2 linked regions of the Arabidopsis thaliana genome follow. The protein of the gene in region 2 purifies or fractionates together with the protein of the main gene of each other region. This does not show direct contact. Each region holds a gene or a part of one and is shown on either strand. Other genes may lie near its edges.

Region 1 (12,197 bases), on a different chromosome or scaffold from region 2:
TCGGCACAAAACCCGACATGCAGACTTAGAATTGTTCATGTTCATATTCTCAAATTTCAGAATTTACATAGTTACATTTTACATAGTTACAGTGTAATGATTCATCTTGTATGTGTTCAGTAGTGTTTGATCTCTTTTTTGGTGGTTGGAGTTTTGATATGTAAACATGTTGTGGGTGAAGGTACTTGATGAGTCCGGAGATGAATTTTGTGAAATTCTACGGGAAGAATCACGATGTTGACTCGTTGACAGACGGCGTTGTAAAAGAGATCCGTCAGTACCGGAAGTAAAGAACCTTCGAAGTACACTTAGGTGATTAATATACATTATTCCCATTTTTGGAAGCTCATCATTAATAAGGATTTCTCAGAACACGGAGCTGCTTGTGTTTCCTTGAAAAAACATCAGTTTTTGTTGTGGCCGAGCATGCACACAACGGTAGTATCCATACTATAAGGGCATTAAGGGATCAATTGAGATTATTCCGATTACCCGTGTCCCATAAATTGATCACACTTCTTCGTATAGAATTTTAAGGCCTAAATTATCGGCAGTGCTTAAATGTCGAACTAAGAGGCAGTGCTTAATTACCCGTTATTGCTAAATACCATAGTATGTGTTTTTACAAAATCATCATAGTAAAGAGAGTTTACACGACCAAGGAGTAATTTGTGAAAATCTGCAATTGGGATCTAACAGTGCGTACGATCACAACACTTGTATGAAACGGTCGACTATAAAATCACGAAGCCAAGATTTATTCATAAGGGAGAATGAGTAAAAATCAGCAAGTACAACAGTACGACAGATAGAGACAAAAACTCCGACCTGTTCCCATCATATGTAAAGTTAGAGTTCTTGGGACAAAAAACAGACCGGAAATACATCGTAAGGATCTCCCTATTTTGATTCCTCACTTTTTCTTTAGTGTTGTTTGTAACATTGGGACAAAAACGTTGTATTGAAGAATGAATTGACATACTAAACTCGACCAAAGGAAAACAAATATAAGTCTCTGAAAGATGCCTCCTTTTGTTCTGTAGGGAATCATGGGCAGCTAAAAGGGAATCACCTCATCAAAGATATGTACATAGTTCATCAAACCGCCAAGGTCGCAGAGGTCAATGCAACATGCGCGCCTATGTAACACACCCATCAAATCCATAACCGTAAAGGGAAGAAAAGCTCACTCACCTGAACAGTTATGAAGTGGCGAGTCAGATCAAATGGTGAAGAGGCAAAAACATTCAATCACTTGAATACTGATGAATATAGAAAAACACAATGGAGGTTTTTTAATGAATGACGCTGAAAAGAGAGAATAACAACGAATCAGAAACTCACTTGAATACTGCTGCTCTTTAACTGATAAGGAAACAAACAATCACGAGGCAAAAACATTTATTCACGGCAGCTTTAAGGCTTGCTTCACTTGTGCAAGCGCCGATGGGTGCATCCTACTAATGGCAGAATTAAAGGCATCTCCATGAAGTGTAGAACATGTCTGAAGGTTCTCACGCGTTGAGTTCTCTAGTGACATCTGGTAGATTGGGTCGGAAACTTTTATCTAAATAAGATCCAACCCCCCAAAAAAGAAGTGTAATAAATCAGTGGTTTTGTAGAAGCTGGTTCTTCAAGAAACCCATATTTTAAATTAACTTTTACCTGACTTTTCCGTAACTCTTTGCTTGGCGGGGTTTCTTCTCCTTGAGACCTGCTTGAACTCATGTCACCGCTGGAATTATAAATTGTGTGTTTCTTAATTCTTAGTGTTGTGAACAGTTCAATAACAAATAAAAAAAGTCACTTAAAATTAATTTAATAATGTTATGTAATGTAAGTAATTAAAAAAAGTATCTGACCTTGATTCTTCTTCTGTTAAATCTTTGTTTTCACCAAGGATCACACTGGTGCATGTACTGTTTCCAGAAACGCGATAAATTATATCACAAAGATACATAAGTCAAACTGTTAATTCTCGACTGTGCAAACCTGTACCTTAGTATTAGATCAAGCTTGTCAAGAACTTGGGGCATTCTAAGTGTAAGTATTATGGAAAGAGCCAAGCCAAATGTCTTTTGTTGCATGGGAGACGCATGGTCCACCTGCACGAGTAGATGCAAGACTAAAGTGCGTCAGATAATGAAAAAGAAACATGCATTTCAACATGTAGAGCAGTTTGACAATGAGATATTGCTTAGGATTCAAGAAAAAGACCATGTAAAGACATGAAACAAGTTAATATTCCATTATCTGAAAGTTAATAGTCTAGAAAGCTATTCGAACAACCAGTAATGTTCAAGATGTGTTCTTCACTGACCTTGTCGAGCCAAATGTCGATGAGGCAAAGGAGTATATTGTCTTCGACTGGGACACCTGCCTGTTGGAGTAACACTGAAAGAGATGAATCAGATGTTAGCTGGGCCAGGTAAGTGGTGTTCATCACCAGAATCCTTGCAAGGATAGCTGCTGAAGACACTTTAACTGCAGTCTTGGATGGATCACGGTCATCTCCACCACTCAAGCAAATAATCACCAGTTTCTGCGAGAAAACGAACAAACCAACTCCATCAGATGCATTAAGGAAGAAAATGGATTTTGCATCCATCAAAAGAAGACTAGAAAAATTCACCTGCAAACAGCTGCTGATGAGAGGGGGCACTTCCACAGGAAAACACTGCTCAATACACAAGCACATGTTCATATCAAGAAGTTAAACTTGGCGTAATTTGCAACACATTTATAGAGAGTCATGACAAAAAATTCCAGTGTAATCATGCCAAAAGTTCCATTACTGGTCAATATATATGTATCCCAAGAGATGAGGCTATGTAATACAAAAATAAATGCAGTCTAGATACAAACTTAACAGAAGAATAAGTATCTCTGGAACTTAAACACCATCACAATAAGGATACGACCAATTGGGAAAATGGGAAATTATACGCACCTGAACTAAGATGTCAATCACTGGAAGAATCGAGAGTAAACCCTTATCATTTACATTTCCAACGATAAGATCAAGAATTTTTGCGACACTTGAAGCATGCATATTTAGAAATTCTCCTCCATCCAAAATGATATACGAATCCATGATACTGACAGCAACCTATATATGGTCATTTGAATGTCTCAAGACGTAACATGTTGAAGTAAATCTGAACACACACATGTATAGGTCATTAATGAATCAAACAACTCCTTGAAAACTTAAAAAGCTCACCTGTAAATGATCAAAACTTCTTTCAATGATCTCCACCATATAGGGAAACAATGCTAATAGCTGGGGCACCATCATAGGAGCATAGGAAAGTGTGGTTTCCCATAACTGCATATGTAGAGCAGTGTTATTAATATATAGCGCATTTGTATCAGCAGAAAAGAAAGGTATACATGTTATGATATGGAAACTTACTGCCATGCTATCCTCCAGAAGGTTGAGTGAATCAGGGCTATTTATGTCAATGCCCTTTTGGAGTATTGGGAGCAGTATGCTATAGCAAATGGGAGACTGATAACCAAGTGCAATCACAAAATTTCGCAGTGCGACAAGAAGCTGGATCTGCAGAAGGCTTTCACCAGAAGATTCCTCCCAAACCTGTTCTTAAGTCAACCACATAGATAGTCAGCTATAAATTGCGGACCAAGAAAAGAAAAAACAAAAAAACAAATCCACAAAGAAAGCTAGTATACCTTCTGGAAGAATTGCACCAACTTTTGTGCGTACGGAATGACTTCGCTAACATGGCCAATAAGAGTAGAAATCAAATTCAGAATTTGAACCTGAGAATAGTTAGATGTTGTATGAGTCATCGAAGGAAGTATAATGGCAAGAATGGAGTGCTATAATGAATTTGAGGCAGCTACATCAAGTACCTTCGAATCAAACTCTTGAACTACCTCGACCATTTTGAAACATGAATCCCAACAGATTGGAAGAAGATCAAGAAAACTTTGCTCCGAAAAATTTGCATCCTCGACATGTAAGCATAATGACCTACTAGCTGCCAGCTACATAAGTAAACAGATGATCTCAGAGGTCACCAATACATATAAAGAAAAAAATGAGAGAATGTGCCCTTAATGCAAGACAGAAAGATAAAAGAAACAAAGATGAGATAAGATGAGACTACCTTTACAGCGAGGTCATTGTCTTGCAACAATTTGATCAAAGCACAATAAACTGCTCTTTTTGTGTCATCCTTAATCTGAAAGGTTGTAATCATCAACCATTTACCATTAGCCAACCATTTTTCAACCAAAATCTAATTGACGAAAACTAGGGTAGAGAAGAGAACACAAACCAACAGGGTAACTAACCCTAATAGCCATTTGTAACAAATAACCAGAAACAATTCTGCTTTTAGATGGCTATCCCTCATTGACTCAACTTATGGACAAGATATTATGTCAATTTGCAAATTATGTTATAATCTTAAGATGCTTTTAGAAAAAAAGATAAGATGTGATTTCCTCCAAAGCCTTGTCAAGCTTAGCTGCATAAACATGGTAAAGCCGGTGTAAAACAAGTAAACAGCAGTACCTCCGAAACCCAATGTCCCAATATCATAGCAACTTTTCGGTGGATGATACGCCTATTTGGATGGTCATTTGAGAGTTCAAGGGATAGAGCACCATTAAACCTGCAGCCAATCATCCGATCATTAAGAAGGGTACAATAATTACTTGACTAATCAAAACTTTTGTCACATTCTGCTGGCTAGCAAAATGAAGGGTCAAGATGTTTAGAGCAGATGGAAAAAAGATTCAGACATTAGAAGATCAAGAGCATACCAATCTCTGAAATTAAGATAATTCGAGAGCTCATAGTAGACATATGCAGTAGCAGCGTATGCCGCATCTTTAAGAAGCAGTGCAGGAGTTATTTCAGTAACAGAAGGGGGACAATTATTCATTGCTTCTTGAAGGATGGACACAACAATAGGTCCTAGCAGCTGTCCACAATTATAGAGACAGATGGAATACGCATCAGTTATAGCGTTTAATGATATCTATATCAATTAGCAGACTTCTTTTCAGAACAGGATGAAGTGCCTAAGACTATTTGCTACTTACTTGGCTGTAGTTCTCAAACAAAACCATATATAGAGCTTCAGCACAAGGCCTCAATTTCTCTGTCCACTGAATCATGTCCTGCTCATGATGAAAGGACTCAGGGTTCTGGTACCACTCCTCTAGGTCACTTGCTGTTAGTACAAAATACCTGTTGGAATGTCGATGGTTAATTTCAGTAAACTTTTCTTCCAGGCATCATTCATACAACGACCATGACACCATCACAGTTCACAACACAATAAATGAACTTAATGCATGCAATAATTTTCAAACTAGCTCCACTAGGCCCCGACAGTAACATTGCCTTCTCATTTATTCCATGCACGCAGCAAGAAGAGATTGAGACCAGAGATACATAGATGTACAGCAACTAGATCATTATGTGTCCACAAGATTGCCCCAGCTCATATTATGTTTTGGATTTTGCATTGGTATTGAAATTTATGTATTATCAAATTAACTAATAAGAACTAAGGCATGAAATAATATGAATATAACAGGGCCACAGTTTGGTAACTAAGAGAGACCCAAAAATTTGAATTCACATATCTTACTGTTAGTTAAGAGTGTTACCGTCTCACTAGTACGTTGCAGAGAAGAACTATCCTTTCATTGGGTAAAAGTGACGACACAATGCCACCAACTGTGTTGGAAGCATTCTTCTTCCTCTGCTCAAATGTATCTCCGTTGTCATCCATCACACGACCAGTTCGACTTGGCTTATATTCTTTACATTCAAGCACAGATTTCACCATCACCATACACTGAATAAAAAAATCTTCAAATGGCAACAATGCCTGTTCGGGGTCCGTTATCTTGTTTAAGCAGAAATCCACTACAACTGGAAGAGCACATTTATCTCCAAACGAAAATGGATGCCTGCTTTGAATAGCACCTAACACCTTCATCAGCTTGACACATGCCTTCTTTACAAACTCCCAGAATTTAGGATCTCGATTTTGAAAAGATGAATCTGCATGGAGGCTCCACACAAGTTAGCAATACATACATATATATGTGTGCTGACAGGTCATATGCATGAAAAAGAGTTTCCACCACACAAAAAAACTCACAATATGGAAGAAAGGATTGAGCCGCATTCAAGAGCGCAGGAGAGACTTCTTTCACTGGTTGTATCTCCTGAGAGAAACGAGTTAGCTGTATATTCTTTTATCTGCATGAAGAGCATATGCCGGAGAGCAAGAAAGATTTCTCTATCCCGATGTAGTCAACCAATCTATTAAGGTTATGATTTCAACTTAACCATTGGAAGATAGCAGAAGAAATGGAAAGTGCGGGGAACGGAACACATATTTGGCGAAACTATACCACAAGTTCATAGAAGGGAGATAGCTGAAGGTGAATGTGATAATGAACTAAAAAGATTCATGAAAAAGTATAGTGTATCTACCTGTATATTATTGGCATCGCTTAGAAATCCTGAAATTATCAGTTGGCGCACTATTTTCAAACATAAAAACCACCTCTCACAAGTCAGAAAAAGCTCATCGTGATGCTGCTCGGCACTATTTGAACCATAGCTCTGAACCATTGTTGAAAAGCCATGTAGAATTGTTTGGACATCAGTTTGCCAAAGGTGCCAACTAAAGTCGAAGAATTGCGACGAGATCTGCCAACAAATTAAACTGGACCTTATCCTTAACTAAAGCAAAAAACGAAGCTTTGGTCCAACAATAAATTCATTCAAGAGGAGAAAGGAAACTGATAAGGGGTTGATGTTAGTAGCAGACTCACCTCAGCGAAGGTCTTCTGATCCGCAGTGAGACGTTTAGTAGACAATTCCTTTAAGGTTCGAAAAAGAATCAGAAAGATTCTGTGAGAAGCCAGAACGTCAGCTGAGTGAAGCTGTTGCGCTAGTACCGAAAAGAGATCAGGCCTGATATCATGAAGCACGCAATGCATAAACTCAGTAAATCAAGGAAGATAGTGTCCAGTTAATATGAATTAAGAAGGGAAAATGCTGACCATTCCCTAGGATAATCAAAACGGGCTATCTTCGATATGAGAACAGCCAACATTTCCGCTATCTGCAATAAAGCAAACAAAGTCAGATAGATATGCTTACAAAGTATATGCCTCAAATGGTGTAGTCAAGGAAAAAAATCAAAAGTAAATGCTACAACACCTGGTAGTTCTCTTCTCTCAAGTGAGACAACAATTTCTGCCTCAGATGACTCTTTTCCTCGTTGCTCATACTCCTGTAAGAATTGCCAGAAAGAGTGTCAAGGCCTAACATACAGGGTAGTATCTTTGCAGAGCGAAGAATCTAAACGAGCCAGCTAAAAAGAATTATAAGTAGAATTGCCGATTCCGGAAACAACTTGAACTTACCATGAATTTCTTCTGCTCTTCCAATGACGGTTGATACTGTTCTTGAAATACACTGAGGCCATTAATCTAACGTCCACATGGGACACCAAATCCTTGGATGCAATTACTTCCTGCAACCAAACCAGAGGAAATGAGCGAGTAAAATCAAGCTGACATTTGCAGAAACCACAAGACACATAGATTAGAAACGCTACCATAAGGCAAGAACAGAAACCAGGTCTACTCTCCGACAGAGATAGAGCCGCCTCCGCCGGCCGCCGAACGGTCTCGTCACCGCTCATTGAATTAGCTAATAGCGTGTACATCGCCGGCAAATCGGAAGCCGATAACGCCATCAGATCCGACGATATTGTTGACCTAATTAACCAAGGAAACGTCGAGGATGAACCCTAGAGGTTTGTTACGACGACGATAAAATCTCACGGCGAAGGAAGGAAAACGCGAAGCTAGTAGAGACAGAGAAGAGAAGAAAGATCGTCTTCTTCTTCCTCCGTCTTTCAACTTCTCTTAAGCTCTTGAAACGTAACAATGTCACTAGTGAAAATGATTTCCTCTTTTTTTTTTAACAGTCGAAGAAAAAAGAAATACTTACCGTCGCTCTGATCGGATTCCGATCACCCAACCGGAGACTTTCGTTTTGGGCTAACTACAGATTATTGGGCCTATAATAAATAAGCCCAAATTAATAATCGCGCGTGATCTTAACGGCGCGTGAACGCAAATAAACAACGATCGCTCGTGTTTGCTAAAATCTTATTGGTGGAGATACGTGGGATTGCATCAAATTTGCCACGTATGATACCCGCCTTAAATTGAGAACGGGAAGCAACCGGAATTTATTTTCAGGAAATACGAAACAACCCCTGCTAGTTTTTGAAGTGAGTAATTGCCCCTACCAATTTCTTAATCCAATTGACAATTTTGGTGTCTTTTGTAAGACTATTAAATATGGGGAATACTCTAAATTAATTAAAATATATATGTCATTCGAGAAATTTCCTTTTTTTCCTTTAAACCCTGCGAACCTATTTAATGATGTCCTTCTCGATTTTTCTCGAAGCGTTGAGTTTCGTGAATAAGACACGCTTAGAAGAGGAAGAAGAAGATTCGTTGACAACAAAACAATAAAAGAGAAAAAGATTGAGAGGTTGTACTTTCGGGATGGTGAGAACAAGATTGGCGATATCTGTTGTTCTTGTGTCGACATTGTTGTTGTTGAATGTGAAAGCGAAGAGCGTTGATCCTTACAAGGTACGGTTTGTGATTCATCTTGTTTTCTTTCCATTCACAAGTCTTTTGATTGGGGCCGGAAATAATGATTACTTTTGATTGTCCCCTTTCTCATTGAAGTTTGGGCTGACAAATTTGTGGGTGTTATAGAAAAGAAGGATTTTTGATATATTAGGTTTTGCTCAGTAGTTTTTGCTATTGATTATAAACATTATTAACTAATGAATGCATCTTCAGGTTCTTGGAGTATCTAAGGATGCAAAGCAGCGTGAAATCCAGAAAGCTTTCCACAAGTAAGCACCCTTCGTTTCTAGTCGCTGATTAAGCTAATAATTCGAATGATGATCAACAAATAGTTTACTCATGTAGCTTGTGATTTTTTTTGGCAGGCAATCTCTGAAATATCATCCAGATAAAAACAAAGATAAGGGTGCTCAGGAGAAGTTTGCTGAGATTAATAATGGTAGGTATCAAATTTCCCTAGGAGATGTGTCCTGTAATCGAATCTTTTAGTATATTATAAGATTATTCTTGTTCTATGGCCATGTGTTTGTGGCACAAATTGAATTTTTGTTGATCTGGCTTTGACAAGTTTAAACCCTTATCTATGTGTAACAGCGTATGAGATCTTATCTGATGAAGAGAAGAGGAAAAACTATGATCTTTATGGAGATGAGAAAGGACAGCCTGGATTTGATTCGGGGTTTCCCGGAGGTAATGGTGGGTATTCTTACTCCTCAAGTGGTGGTGGTTTCAACTTTGGAGGGCCTGGTGGTTGGCAAAATATGGGCGGTGGGGGAGGTTCCAAATCGTTTTCTTTCTCGTTTGGCGGTCCTAGTGAAAGCTCCTTTGGTTTTGGTATGGATGATATCTTTTCCATGTTTTCGGGCGGTAGTTCTAAAGGAAAGGAGCAGTTTGGTGGCTTTGGTAGCTCATCGAATGCTGAATCTAAATCAAAGAGCAGTACTGTAGCAGCTATCAAAACCATTAACTCTCAGGTCTATAAGAAGGACGTTGTGGACCAAGGGATGACTTGGCTTTTGTTGTCGTATCTTCCATCTCAGAGGGGAAGCCAGTACCATGAATCCATCATAGAGGAAGTTGCTGAGTCGTTGCAAGGAGCTTTAAAGGTAAAACATATGCTTGTCAAGTTAGTTGATTTTGGGTTTTCTGTTTCGTTCTTAAAAGAAGAAGTGTAGTTTCTTTTGTTGTTTACGTGATTTAACTTTATGTTTACAGGTTGGGCGATTAAATTGTGAAACAGAATCCTCTCTTTGCAAACAACTAGGCATAGTTCCTCGTAGGGCTCCAAGGATGTTTGTTTATTCATACACATCAAGTGGCAAAGCTACCTTAGCAGAATATACTGAAGAGCTTGTTGCAAAGAAGGTGAAAAGCTTCTGCCAGGAACATCTACCGAGATTCTCAAAAAAGATTGATCTGAATACATTCGATGTATCTGCCGTTAGCTCACAAAAGACTCCTAAAGTTTTGCTTCTGTCAACAAAGAAAGACACTCCTGTCATCTGGCGGGTTCTAAGTGGCTTGTACAATGGACGATTTGTCTTTTACAACACAGAGGTTTGTTATATTTTGGCTTTAATTTCCACTTACATCACTATTCCTACAATTATTGTTACTGCGAGAGTCTGATGGTCGTAGAAATTATGGGGTGGTTCCCTGGTCCACGTTTAATGACGAGTCAGCAAATTTGAACTTAATTATTAGAATTCCTTAGACATGAAATCTTTTTAGCTAAAGTATTTTTTTCTCATGATCTTGTAGGTCCATGATACTTCTGATCCAAAGATACAAAAGTTGGGGGTAGACAAGTTTCCGGCAATAGTTGGTTGGTTATCGAATGGGGAGAAGCAAGTCTTGAAAACAGGTATCACTGTGAAAAATCTGAAATCAGCTGTCCAGGAACTTGGTAAATTGCTTGAAGGATTAGAGAAGAAGAACAAGAAGGTCTCTTCTAAGAGTCAGGCGGGCCAAGCCCCTAACGAGTCCTCAGAAAAGATACCTCTTCTGTCAAGACCAAATTTTGACTCCATTTGTGGGGAGAACACTCCTGTTTGTATCATTGGTGCCTTCAGATCGTCAAATGGTAAAGAGAAGCTGCAGTCAATAATGTCCAAGGTAAACAAATATATCACTACCTCTATACTCTATTTATATGCCTTTGGCTCAGTATGATAGTTAAACACGGTTCTTTGATAAATTTCAAGAAGTGAAGCGGTGTTCTTTCTTCAAGCCATTACTCTTTTGGTTCTTTGACTTGATGATGAATAATCCTCCGGCTCTATTCTTTGTCCAGGTATCCCAGAAATCACTCTCTCGACGACAAGCTTCAACCACAGGTTCTCAGGACACAGTATCCTATTCGCTTCTAGACGCAACAAAACAATCTGCGTTCTTGAGCTCCCTTGACAAATCAGAGTTCAAAACTTCTTCTGATAAGCTCCTAATAGCTTACAAGCCTCGACGAGGTAAGTTTGCTACATTCAAAGGCGATATGACTATTGAGGAAGTTGAGAAATTCGTAGCAGCTGTTCTTAACGGAGACATACAGTTCACAAAGACAAGACAGAAACCCCAGATCAAATGAAAGTTTTTTTTCATCAGACATTAGTTTCAGAGATGTACATCGTTTTGGAGGAGAAAAGGGTGATTTTTCACGTTTCCTGTGTTGCAATCTGCTTTTGACAGTAAGTTTGTGTATTGTCAAGAGACGTGAAACAGTTCTATAGGACTAGAATTATGTCATTGTACTGAGTACTGACTACTGAGTTCTTTGTAATTATTACAAATTATAAATATGAAAATGTTGGGGTTTTGACTTTGAACCCCAACACACTTCTGAAATTAGAGACCGGTAAAAACAGTTTAAAAGCCGCAGTGACCCTGATTTACTCCAGTTAACCACACTCTATAGACAAGTTAGAGTGTTACTTTTTGGCAGAATAACAGTTTAAAAGCCGCAGTGACCTTCGGGCCTTTGACCGCGAATCCAACGGTCACGAACCGGAAGAAACCAGACTAAATCCGCGACACGAACTTTTTGATTGAACCGGCTAATTTATGGTACCAGCTAAACCTTGTAGAGCAAAAGAGAAACCCTGATTCTTCTTCTTCACATCGTCGCGAGCTCTGGTTCTCTGCTCTCATCCGCTTCACAAAATTGATTTGCGAGTCGTTGTGTTCCAACTCTCATTCTTTTGCACCTGGATTTCTTCCATTTTCAGGTTATTACAATCACGTTAGATTTTGCGTTTTTTTTGTTTTCACAGTCCTGTGGTCGATTTCGATACGGTTCGATTAGGCTTACACTTCAGATTAGTTTCATCTTTCAGTTCCATGAATCGATTAGGTTTAGTTCACTAATTTTAGCATGGTTTGAGATTAGATTTAGAAAACCCGATTCATTAACTGGTTGACAATGCTGTGGTTTTAGACTGTAGTGTTTGATCTAAAATGGTTTTCTGTTTGATATAATCGTATTGGTTGTATTTTAAATCTCATTTAAATGATGTATCAAC
Region 2 (12,061 bases):
CGTACTTTGACTATACATGATTGCGAAAAGTTGAAGGAACTTCCTGATGGACTCAAGTACATAACATCCTTAAAGGAGCTAAAGATTAGAGAAATGAAGAGGGAGTGGAAGGAGAAACTGGTACCAGGTGGAGAAGATTACTACAAAGTCCAACACATTCCCGATGTTCAATTTATCAACTGTGACCTGTAGCAGGTAAAAAATAAATTGTATGGTGTTCACTTTGTTTTTTTCTATGTTGTTGTTGGATTCGTGTGAAAGTCATGTGGACAGTCTCAACGACTATACATTGTTCCAGCATCGATCATCTTTGAAATAGATGCAGGAAAGACCAAGAAGCGAGCCAAATTCTCTTATATTGGGAGAGATAGAGGCTGCTTCACAAAAGTCATCAGCTGATCAACAGGTTTTTCCGAAGAATAGCTTATGAAGAATACAGATCCTCAAGTATTAATGATTACGTTTCCAGTCTTGGAGCTCTCGCTTTCAGTGAATCGTTATGTTGTGTAGCTCAGAACTATATTATAGAAACAATGCTTATATTGTTGTTTGTTTTTGATGTGGATGCATGGAACTTGCTTGAGAACTCTTTTACAAAATGGAGAAACGAAACTTGTAAAATTTGGATATTTTCTGTTTATTGTAAAATTTGGATATATTTTAAGAATTGCGTTTTGCTTTCTCGTTTGTGATTTAACCCAGTTCGTTTTGTAAGCTCTATTTACACCATCAAATCTTGTCAGTTTTTTTTGACGTTTTGTTAGTTTTGCACCTCTTTTACTGTGTATACGCAGAGGCAAGACATGGTTGAACCAAGACGAGCAAAACTGATGTACAATAAACAGAATAATCTCATTTCCAAAACTTCTGGCAAAACATTATATTTTCTCAAGGGAACAAAACACACAGACAAGTCGAAACTTTATGGGTTTGTAGCAAGTTTGTTGAAGGCGGCGTGAACTCTCTCTTCCGTGAACAGTCTATGGTTTTCATAGAAATCTAATATCTCCATTGCAATATTCTTCACCTGCCAATATGTTCACAACATTCCGATGAACAACTAAACAAGACCATGCCTTCTAGTAACAACAGAGATAACAGTGCATGGACTTACAATGTTCATGTCGACAGAAAGCTCTTCAAACCATGTCTTTATGTCTTTCTCTTTGTGTACAGAAGCAATGTAAATGCAAGCGAGTGTTATGAGAAACGGCGGATGTATAAGGATGAGGTCCATTCTATATGTGTCGTTGACAAGACCCCTAAAGTTTCCACAACAAAACTTAAAGCATCAAGAGAGCATTTACTTTTTTGCTTGCAAATCAAAACCTGTTTAGGCTCTCTTCCAAGAAGCTTAATGAAGGACAAAAGTTTTGGACACTTACCAAGTTAGATGGGTCATACTAGTGTCATTGATTCCAGAATCCTGCAAGAACCTGCAAGTAATGCAAGAAGGAATAATCAAAACGAAATGCAGAGTATAATGGCAAAAAGATTTCGATGACGACACATATGATCCTAAGCAAACGACTTACTCAGGCAGAGATCGATATGGGTGGAATACAACAAGATAGAAGTTCAATGCTTCCAAGACCTTCATCTCCATTTCCAGAATATCTTTAATCTCATATCGAAACTTTTCATCCGCATCTACAGAGAGTGAAAGCATCCAATCTCATCAGAAACTCAGACAAAAAAAACTCAAGAAAATTTTGGAAGCAGAAAACAAAAAAGAATTTACAAAGTTTTTTCATGTAGAAGACAAGAAGTTTGGCATGCACCACACTCTCTTCTGCTTTGCAAGCCAAATACAAGCATGTAGGAGCAACAAGCCGAGGCTCATATTCCGTCAAACTCTTTCTGTCAAAACACACACAACAGTACCCATAAATCAAATGACCAAGCCTCGTGCTACACAACGATTACCAAAGAAGCCATACCTTGTGTAAACACGACGCATATAGGTTACTGCAGTTGCAACAACTCTGAATCATAAAAGTGCTAAAAATCAGTCAGCATTGTTCAAAGGGTCATAGCACATTCCATATCTCTTTAAGACTAACAACGAAAGACTTCACCTTTGCCTAATCTTAATGTGTTGTGCCAGTTTCGATATATCTGAAATCAAATAACAACAAGGAAAACACGAAAAACATGATTCATGACATTAGAGATGTTAAATCCAATCTGGAAATTAATTAACAAGGTAATCAAATCCAATGAAAACATACAATTAGACATATGAAGCTTAATGAGTCTGAAATCTTCAACAGAGATTCCTCTCTGAGCATCAAGAGGATGAACAACATTAACCTCTTCTGGGTCCTTAAGCTCTTTGCTGTGAAAATAAAACCCACAAAACGAATCAATCAGGAACATGGAAATTGAATTAAAAAAAGACGATCTTTAATCATTGATTGAAACTTACTAGTGCGTCGAAGTCCAGAAATTGGAAGCCATAGCTTCTTTGATCCTTCAACTTCAAAAATACAAGCTTTTTATTTTTATGGTGTGGATAATGAGAGCATAAAGACCACCAAGGAAAAATACAAAACAAAAAAAGTAATAATTCAGTATTTATCTTTTTTGATAGAAAAAAAATTATTTACCAAAAAAAGTTTTTAAAATTCTTATATGAAATCTTTTTTTTTTTTTCATATTTCTCATCTTCATCAATTTGACCTTTGTTTTATTTCACATTTTTGCTTCTACGAGAGGTTTAGGTTTTGGAGAAAATAAAAGGGAAAACAAACCCATTATGATGAACAATTAACAATAATGTTTACTTTAAGATTAATAGGTTTGGTAATAACAGTGTTACATGTTTGCCACAAAGCTAGATGGATGGGCAATTGTGGAAGTCTCTAATCATTTTTTTCTGTGCGATAAGTCTTGGAGATGGAGGTGATTCTCTACAGCTTCAAAGCCAATTTGCTGAAGGCAGAATTCACTTTTTCCTCTGTGATTGTTCTGTAGTTCTCATAGAAGTCCAGTATCTCCATGGCAATATTCTTTACCTGCAACCCATTGCCCCATGTAGAGCTTTCAAAGTCACTAAAGAATACCGAAAATCACGCAAAAGATCATAGCTATTCGCTTTAACTAATGATTGAATAACTTTTAGAAGAATGACTGACCAAGTTCATGTCCTCATGAAGATCTTCAAACCATGCAGTGATATCTTTCTCTCTGTGGACACTTGCTATGTATATGCATGCTAGCGCTATGCGGTAGGGAGGGTGTACAAGAATGAGGTCCATCTTATAAGTATCATTAACAATTCCCCTGAAACACGGAAAATAGGTTTTCAAAATGCTTTTTATACAGGTCAGAGATCTCTTAGATTTTAAGGTTGGAGCTAGGAATTGAGTTCTATGCAATATATCTCATATAGAAGGACTTACCATGTAATCTGGTTCATATTTACATCGTTTAATGCAGCATCTTGCAAAAACCTAGAAATCAAAAGAATGAAGTATTAGAATGAGTGTTGATTTTCTGACCATCAAGGCACACAAAACTCTCACCAAGGAAATATTAAGGTGGTCCAAAATTTTGATATAATGAGAAACATCAAGAACATTGTATGGGAAGACTGCAAGTTTTTACATGTATCATCATTTACACTTCTCCGTTTGTAACCACAGACAATAAGGCAAACATGTTCAAAGCTTCCGAAAAGCGGATAAGAGAGATGAGTGGACATACTCCGATAATGACCGGTAAGGGTGAAACACAACCAGATAATAATCTAGTGCTTCTAACACCTTCATCTCCATTCCTAATATATCCTTTAGTTCATATTTGTTGTACTCATCAGGATCTGCAAAGATATAAGAACCGTTGTCGTCGATATGTCAAAAAAAAGCATATTGAAGGGGAGGTACTCTCATGATTTGAAAAATAAAAAAACAGAAGAAGAAGATATTACACAATCTTTTGATGTAAAAAACAAGATTCCTGGCCTGCACTATGCTTTCTTCAGCTTTAGATGCCAGGTACAAGCACGTAAGAGCAACAAGTCGAGGCTCAAACTCTACCATACTCTTTCTGAGATAGTATAGTAACAAAAGGAAGATATTAGACACCAAAACTGAAAACTTTCGTAACACAGTTAACGTTTTTGATAGCAGAGATGCAACATAGAGAGACACTGGCATGACAAGAATTTAACTCATTTCATTCCTCACATACACAAAGATGCACATTGATGTATACGATCATATCAAAAATACATTGCATACCTGATATAAACCCGTCTCATATACGTAATTGCAGTAGCTACAACCCTACATAAGTAGAAAAACCAAGGCGACGATTCATATACAAGTCCAGGTTACACCAGATATTAGAGCTAGTTAAATCTACAGAAGCAAAACAAAGTAATGGAAGTACTGCAACAGTAGAATCTCTTTGATATAGCAAAAATTGGACCCCCAAATTGTAAAGAACCAACCTTTGCCTCACTTTAATGTGCTGAGCCAATTTCATAATATCTGAAAACAACAATAAATGAAGAAACAAAGAGACATAAACTCAAAAAACTTCTCTGATCAATCTCTAATCAAACCAGTGCAACAGAGACAACAAATTTGCTTAAGTAAGCAGGAGAATTCGAAGAATTAAGAAGAAAAAGGATTTCGTACGATTAGACATATGGAACTTGATGAGCTTAAAATCATCAATTGAGATTCCACGTTCTTTATCGAGATCATGAACTACGTCGACTTCTTCTGGATCCAAAAGCTGTTTACTGTTTCGTACAAACGCAAAAACAAAACAAAAAAATTCGAGAAATTGAAATTAGAAGTTGCTTAGAAGGAGAAGAAGAAGTGAATTTTGATGGGTAAAGTTTTAAAGAACATTTACTAGTGAGATGAATTCCAGAAATTGGCAGCCATTTTTTCCGGTAGACCGTCGAGTCTTTGGTAAGGAGGAGAAGCTTTTTTAGCTCATAAGTTCAACATTTTTCTGTTATCTGTCAAATCTCTTTGGTTGGTGGTCTCATGATCTATCATATCGTTGCTTTTTTCTGAAATTAAATTTAAGGCTCGGCCCATTATCGGCCCAATAGGCAAACAAATGAAAGTATTAACTCTGATATAACATGTTCGTTGTTTTTTGAATAACAGAACATATAGATGATAAAAATTGAAATCTTATAAATAGCTAAGAAGTGACCGAATATATCATTTCGACGAGGTATAATCAGTTTCAAAAGGATTAAATTTGAGTTTGGTTTTTTTCGTCATGATTAAGGCTATAAAAATTCTAGCTTTATATCATCAGCCACACCGAATATTTTTCTCTCACAAGTTTTTGTATCATGTATTGTTCAAACGCTTGATCAGTGATTTTCTTCTAACCATAAGTTTGGGTGTTCATAAAAGAATTTTCAGAAGAACACCACACATTTTTCGTTTGCCTAATATACATGTTCATTTGTTTTATTGAGCCCATACTCCTTTATCAAAACTAACTTTTTTTCTTTAAACATACTAAATTCAAACTAAACTTAGACTAATACATACTCAAATTAACACCCTACATGTTTCTCACGTTCAATATTTGGTACAAGCCAAATAGGTAAACTACAATCTAAAAACGCACGAGAAAAACCGCATGACAAAGGAATAAGCCAAATAAGTTGACTACAATCTAAAAAACGCACGAGAAGAGTATCGATTATCCCGTGTCTAAATTTAATTCCGGTTTTTCGCTATCAAAACAATTCAAGAGGAGTTATTATTCTCTAATTCACCTTATAGAATTCTTTGGGATTATGTGCTAACCCAAGTTAAAATCTAATGTACTCATTAATAAAAGGTAAGTAATATTAAAGTTAGTGGAGAATAAAATCTGTTGAAGAAAGGTGAGGAAGTGCAACGGACCATGTTTGACACGTGAGAGTCAAAAAGGCAATAAAAAAGTCGTCAACACACACACTCTCTCCCCGTCTATATAAACATCTTCTTCACAGTCCCCACAAAGTCCTCTTCCGTTGCCTTTTCGCTTTCTCCGTACACTTGGCCTTCCTTCTAGCGATCAAACCCTAGGTCCCGCCATTGTTGGTCCCAGACTTCAATCGAAGCTCCAATTTCACTAATTTCAGGTGAATCTTCTTCTACTATTTCTCTTCCGTCAGTTTAATGTCACGATTTCGCCGGAAAAATGTGATCTACACTGTTTCGGAGTGAAATGTGAAGTAGATTTCGTTGGTTTCTTAGCTAGTTTGTGCTTTTCTCGAAGTTGTTTCTGTGTTTATTTCATGAAACGATTTTGGGTTGCTTTTGTGAAGTTGATTTTGTTGTTGCCTCTTAGTTCGTTTTCTTGCTTGTTAAGTGTTTATCGAGTCACTATGTGTAGTTCATGAATTACGTTTTCTACGGAAACGATTTTGGAAAGTTGTGTGTGAGATTTAGAGATTTTCTGTTTTTTACATGATTCTTGGGTTGTTCTGTGATTTACATTGATTCTGAGTTTTGACAGTCTTCTATGAATTACAGGTGTTGTTTATTCTCTGGAAGTTGGCGATACAATGGATTCTACTGCTGCAACCAAACGTGTTGTTGACCCACTTACTGTATGTTTTTTCAATTATGGGGTTTCTTCTCCTTTTTACTAGTTGTAATTGTGATTCTTTGTGTGGTTTGTTCTGTTTTTGTTGTTGTTAAAGTGTATTTTTGGGTTTGGTTAATATAGGTTGGGAGTGCGTTTGTCAATCAGTACTACTACATTTTCTGTAACATGCCTGAGCATCTGCCCCGGTTTTATCAAGAGATCAGTAGAGTTGGCCGTGTTGGACAGGACGGAGTCATGCGTGATTTCTCCACTTTTCAAGTAAGTAGTTCTTAGTAGTTTAGTTGGGTTTGGTTGAATGAGGATGAGACTATATCATTTTTATGATGTTAAGGATTAGTAACTAACATGGGGTTGGGCTGGAGTGTCATTTGGTATGGTGGAAATTGGATGGCAGTTTAAGTAACTTGCTAAAAGTGTCTCTCATTGATGCTTATTCTTTGTGCAGGGTATAAGTGAGGAGCTTAAGAGACTGACTTATGGAGATTGCAACTCGGCTGAGATAACCAGTTATGATACTCAAGAGTCTCACAATGGGGGTTTCCTTCTCTTCGTTACTGGATACTTCACTCTAAACGAGAGATCGAGAAGGAAATTCACCCAAACTTTTTTCCTTGCCCCGCAAGAAAAGGGTTTCTTTGTTCTGAATGACATCCTCAGATTTGTTAATGATGATGCTAAGGATAATGTTCCAGAGACCATAGATGGGGAAGTTGTTTCTGGGATAAACTCTACAACACCCACTATTATCAATGGTAAGTTAAACTTATATTTCTTCTAACGCAAATTCTATTCCAATCCTTTTCTTACACTTTAGCTCCTACAGGCATGAAGGGTTCGGAGCAAGCTGCATGTGTTTCAGTGAATCCTGTTTGTAAGGAAGTGTCCAAACCCTTGGATAATGAGAATGCTAAGGATAATGTTCTGGTACCTGAGATTGCTAATGAAGTTGCAAGGACTGAGATAACTTGCAAAGAAGTTGCAGATGATTCACAGAAAAATTATGACCCTGATGATGGACTTGCAGATGCTCCCAAGAAATCCTATGCCTCTGTGGTAAGTAGTCACCCTAGAGGATTCATACTCGATCTTGTTACATCTTATTTTAGGCTTTACTATATCACTTCTTGAGTTTTCTATTGATAATCAATGACTATCATAACAGTTGAAGGTTACGAAAGATAAATTTGGAGTTCCAGCTGTCTCTTTACCTTCTCCAAAGAAGATACCTAAAGACCAAGAACATCAAGCGCCTTCAGATCCTTCTACAGGCCAGATACTCAAAGACCAAGGTCAACAAGCATCTTCAGATCCTTCTCAAGTGATAGAATCTGATACAGTTTCTGAGTCTGTTGATGCTTCTGAAAATGGGCACAATCAGGAAGGTAGTAGTTCACAGTATAGCTGATCCTCAAGTTTTCAATTATAATATTTGGTGGTCTATATTCTCATATCTATTCATGACATGGTTTTATACTTCTTTTGTCTTTTTTATTAGCGGTAGCTGAGGGTACATCTATTTATGTGAGACATCTTCCTTTTAATGCCAACATTGACATGCTTGAGGCTGAATTTAAGCAATTTGGAGCTATTACCAATGGTGGGATTCAAGTCATAAATCAAAGGGTAAGATTGACCAATCAACTAACACTTAAGTATTGGAAGCTTGAATCCTACATATATGACTGGCAGATCTTACATATATTATTGTTCTGAACAATGATAATTTACTGTATGACTGGCAGGGCCTTGGTTATCCTTATGGTTTTGTTGAGTTTGAGGAGGCAGATGCTGCCCACAGAGCAATAGAGGTTTATATTCTAACCTTGAATATAATTTTCACTTTCTTGTTTAGCATTATAGAAAACCGATATGAAATCATCTGAATGATGCAGGCTTCACCTGTGAAGATTGGTGGACTGAGAGCTTTTGTGGAGGAGAAGCTATCGACATCAAGAGGTGAGCAAAGTAGCAAAACGTTGATATGGTAATGTGGAGAAAGAGGATGATGATTGTTTGTTTGCTTGAGTAACAGGTAAAAGAGGAAATGGAAACGTGGGATACGGAAATAGGAATGTGGGAGTGGGAATGAGAGGAAGAGGAAGTTATGGATATGGCTATGATTACAGGAGGGGAGGTCGAGGTCCTGGAGGAGGAGGAAGGTCTTTTAACCGTAGAGGCAATGAATACGTCGCCAGCATCAACTCGTACTAGAGCGGATTTGGGTTCTCTTGTGGCGGATAATTGATTTTTGGAATGGTGGAAAGAAGATGGTAGCAAGACAGACAGAATTGGTAGATATCTCTCTCTCGGGTATTCAAATATTAGTAAAAGGTAAAAAAAAAAAAAAGGATTTGTGGTGATATTATGGCTTATGATATGTAAGACGTTTCTAATTCGACAATCTAAATTTAATGAAATGAATGTGCTTATGCTTTTGTTTTTTGTTTTTTTATTTGATTCTGAACGTGTGGTATACTGGTATTACTGTTCCTTCTTTGACCTAGGAATTTTGACCCGGATGCAGCAGCATGAGCTACTTTTTTACCCAGTATTGAGAAAAAGTGCATTGACGAGATGACATGAGCTGGAAAAACTGAGATATTTCGACTAAACTATATAGCTCAACTAGCCAAATAAGTTTACCGACACTTAGTCGAGTTTAGTTGACTGAGATAGTCTTTGGCTTGATGGTGGTTTAGGTTTCTTGGGAAAGTTAAGTGACCGCTTAACGGTTACTCAGGACTGTTGGATCAGATGGAAAAGATATAACTAAGACAAGTAATTTGAGTCGTTACCAAAACCTAGTCGTTAAGGCCAACAATCTCAGAGGCTACACATAGGAATAGCAAGGTGCGATTTCTATCTTCTTGATATTTAAGATGTCGCGACTCACCAGTTGGTAGAGAAAACAAACTAAGCTAATGTTCAACAATACATTGCTATACCAATCACACTCCATGACTACAAGATTCAAGGCTCAAGAGGTTGGTGTTCTTGGTCTGTTTGTTATCAATGGAGTTCAGGGAATTGCATCTACCACTAGAAAGATCTTAATCACACAACAGTTAATAAAACTGTGGACTAACATTCCAAAAGGATCAAAAACTATAATCTATACACCATTCAATATCCCTCACAAAGAAGGCATCTAAAAAACCACCATATCACCAGCTTGGCCTATAGTATCCAGTTCTTACTTCTCAGTATAACCACCCAGCAAAACGAGAAATCAAAGTAGACTACCATATACAAATCACAATGGAGAAGAATAACACGAAAGCCAAGCTCCTTCTGGCACTTCTACTATCAGGCGCTGAAGGGAGGTATGCACCTGAGGAGCAAAGTGAGGTTATCACCAATAACCAGCAACTCTGGGGTTGGTTTCCTCTTCCACATTATGGCTGGCCCTTTCATAAAAGACGGTTTGGTTATTTTCCTCCCAAAGCTGGCCTCAACAAACAGAACCCCGTGCCCGGATCTCAGACTACAGGTGATGCCAATGTTGCTGCATCCACCAAGTTTCCATGACTAGGTGACGATGCATGCTAGCAAAATGTGACCTTAAGGAGTGAATAACCACAAGGCAGAGCAATAGAGCATCGATTCAAAACCGATTCTATTAGCTTCTGCAATCTATCTTCTGCTACCATTGTACTCTAGACCCAGTGCATGGAGTTCTAATAAATTTCCCTTATTTTTTTTTTATTTTTTTTTTTCACAATAAATTTCCCTTATAATTCCTACTATTTGCTCATACTGACATACATAAATACTTTACGCATTTATCAGCAATGTGAGATGAGAACTGGCATACACGACATGATCAAGATGTAGAATTTTAGTAAAGATTCAATATTAATTTTTTTTTCCATATATCTTATCATCTATCAAGAGAGAAGAGTATCGACTGAGAGGTTTGCAGAGACCTAAATTACATAGAACAACAACTAAAAACAAAGAGTTATTACCAATGATATCCATCGAATGATAGGGCCTTCTGGCTTCTTGATCACTGAATATTTCTCTTCCAACAAAGCAAAATATTCAAAAATACCAAGTCAACGAAGTCCCTTCAATGTTCCAAAGTGAATAGGAGGATAGTCTGATAAACCATTAGACCTGTGAGAATGGAAACCAAATTCCAGTTTAGTTAATTAAGTATACAATTCAAATCTAGTAAATCTCTACAAACGTGGATGATAATATAATCATTGTTTGACCTACAGGGTGGCTGGTGATGTTGCCGGACCACTCATCTAGTGGTTGGAAGGAAAACTCGAATCAGCTCTTTTGCAGTAACCTTTTTCCTACAAGTAGGGCATTTGCCCTGGCGAGATATTGCCATCTTTATACATCCCTTGCAGAAGATGTGACCGCACTTGGTTGACATCTCCTCCGTAAAGGGACACATGCAGATTGGACATGTAAACTTTGGCTCTTCTGGTGGAGGAGCTGGAGCCTTTGATCTAGACACTCTCTACACAAGATAAAAGAAATTGTGAGCTTAGACTAAATCGCATAACTGCACAGTACATGATTCCAGAAATTCACATCTCTCTTACCGAAGACATGTTGACTTCATCATTTACAGAGGCATGCTCACAGTCGATGACAGATTCACTAGAAGGAATCCTTCTGCGTTTGTTGCTTATGTTGGCAGGGAATCTAGTCGTACCTCCTGCAAACACAAAGTAAAATCCATCCATCAAACTCTCTGTCTCTCCCTACTACTTGAGACATGACATTGAACCAGAAGAGTAAAATTTCTTTTCACAATAGATAAAAACTGACCTGACTCTACATCAACCATCAAAGGTCTCCGACGTGCATTTCTTGATTTGCTTTTAGCCTGGTATCAAAATAAAACAAAATCAGTGAACCTACTACACAAACAAATCCTATCCATCACTGCAAAAATGAGAAACTAAAAGATAACAGAAATCAAACATACTTCAGCAAAAGCACTAGCGGATGATTCAATAACATCATCCTCAATAGCATCGACATCAATCATCGTAGGAGCAGGCTGAGACGGTGTAATAGGCACCGTAAGAGTTCTAACAGAAGCAGAGGTCCCTTCTTGATCAACAGGTACCGCATTCAGATCAATCACAGCTTTCCTCCGTCGATTTCCTCGAGGTACTCTCACCTCTGACGTGTTCATCTTTCAGCTCAAAGTAACTAACCTTTGTACCTGTAAGTTTCAACCAAACAATAAAACAATCTAATTTACTCCTCAAAGTCTTATATACAAACTCAAATCATTGCAAGCAAGATAATATAATTTCCGTGAATAATCTCAAAATGTATAGTTTCACATATACTTACAGAAAAAAAAAATCCAAACTTTAGACAGAATTTTTCAAAAGAACACAATTTCACAGCAAAAAGGGAAAAGAATCAATCTCCCAGAAATTCATCGACTTTACGAAATTAAACTCAATTGACAGTAACGAGACGATCAAATTAACAAATCCGA

What was found.
Region 1: the proteins of AT5G48650 (region 2) and ATERDJ3A fractionate together in Arabidopsis thaliana (co-fractionation; one large-scale study listed by BioGRID). This does not show direct contact.

Annotation. Positions count from the first base shown.
Region 1 is NC_003074.8:2,729,000-2,741,196, forward strand, and holds ATERDJ3A (DNAJ heat shock N-terminal domain-containing protein), read left to right. Parts: upstream 1-8,297; 5' UTR 8,298-8,306; exon of another isoform or gene 8,307-8,357; intron 8,358-8,453; exon of another isoform or gene 8,454-8,488; 5' UTR 8,489-8,589; coding exon 8,590-8,679; intron 8,680-8,895; coding exon 8,896-8,951; intron 8,952-9,047; coding exon 9,048-9,121; intron 9,122-9,276; coding exon 9,277-9,788; intron 9,789-9,897; coding exon 9,898-10,239; intron 10,240-10,443; coding exon 10,444-10,797; intron 10,798-10,975; coding exon 10,976-11,266; 3' UTR 11,267-11,550; downstream 11,551-12,197. Other genes in the region: HCC1 (electron transport SCO1/SenC family protein), read left to right, coding at 182-290; AT3G08960 (ARM repeat superfamily protein), read right to left, coding at 1,406-1,567, 1,666-1,735, 1,863-1,919, 1,999-2,105, 2,321-2,542, 2,633-2,677, 2,951-3,109, 3,224-3,328 and 15 more. UniProt on the Arabidopsis thaliana protein: Regulates protein folding in the endoplasmic reticulum (ER) lumen. Functions probably as a co-molecular chaperone that is required for normal growth of pollen tubes under high-temperature stress.
Region 2 is NC_003076.8:19,720,741-19,732,801, forward strand, and holds AT5G48650 (Nuclear transport factor 2 (NTF2) family protein with RNA binding (RRM-RBD-RNP motifs) domain-containing protein), read left to right. Parts: upstream 1-5,931; 5' UTR 5,932-6,112; intron 6,113-6,506; 5' UTR 6,507-6,538; coding exon 6,539-6,583; intron 6,584-6,702; coding exon 6,703-6,840; intron 6,841-7,027; coding exon 7,028-7,334; intron 7,335-7,405; coding exon 7,406-7,635; intron 7,636-7,744; coding exon 7,745-7,964; intron 7,965-8,077; coding exon 8,078-8,205; intron 8,206-8,324; coding exon 8,325-8,390; intron 8,391-8,474; coding exon 8,475-8,538; intron 8,539-8,614; coding exon 8,615-8,793; 3' UTR 8,794-9,024; downstream 9,025-12,061. Other genes in the region: AT5G48620 (Disease resistance protein (CC-NBS-LRR class) family), read left to right, coding at 1-192; AT5G48630 (Cyclin family protein), read right to left, coding at 923-1,027, 1,115-1,262, 1,386-1,436, 1,536-1,650, 1,742-1,860, 1,941-1,985, 2,079-2,118, 2,232-2,379; AT5G48640 (Cyclin family protein), read right to left, coding at 2,913-3,017, 3,138-3,285, 3,405-3,455, 3,709-3,823, 3,932-4,050, 4,245-4,289, 4,457-4,496, 4,647-4,753 and 1 more; AT5G48655 (RING/U-box superfamily protein), read right to left, coding at 10,835-11,059, 11,145-11,260, 11,374-11,431, 11,534-11,746.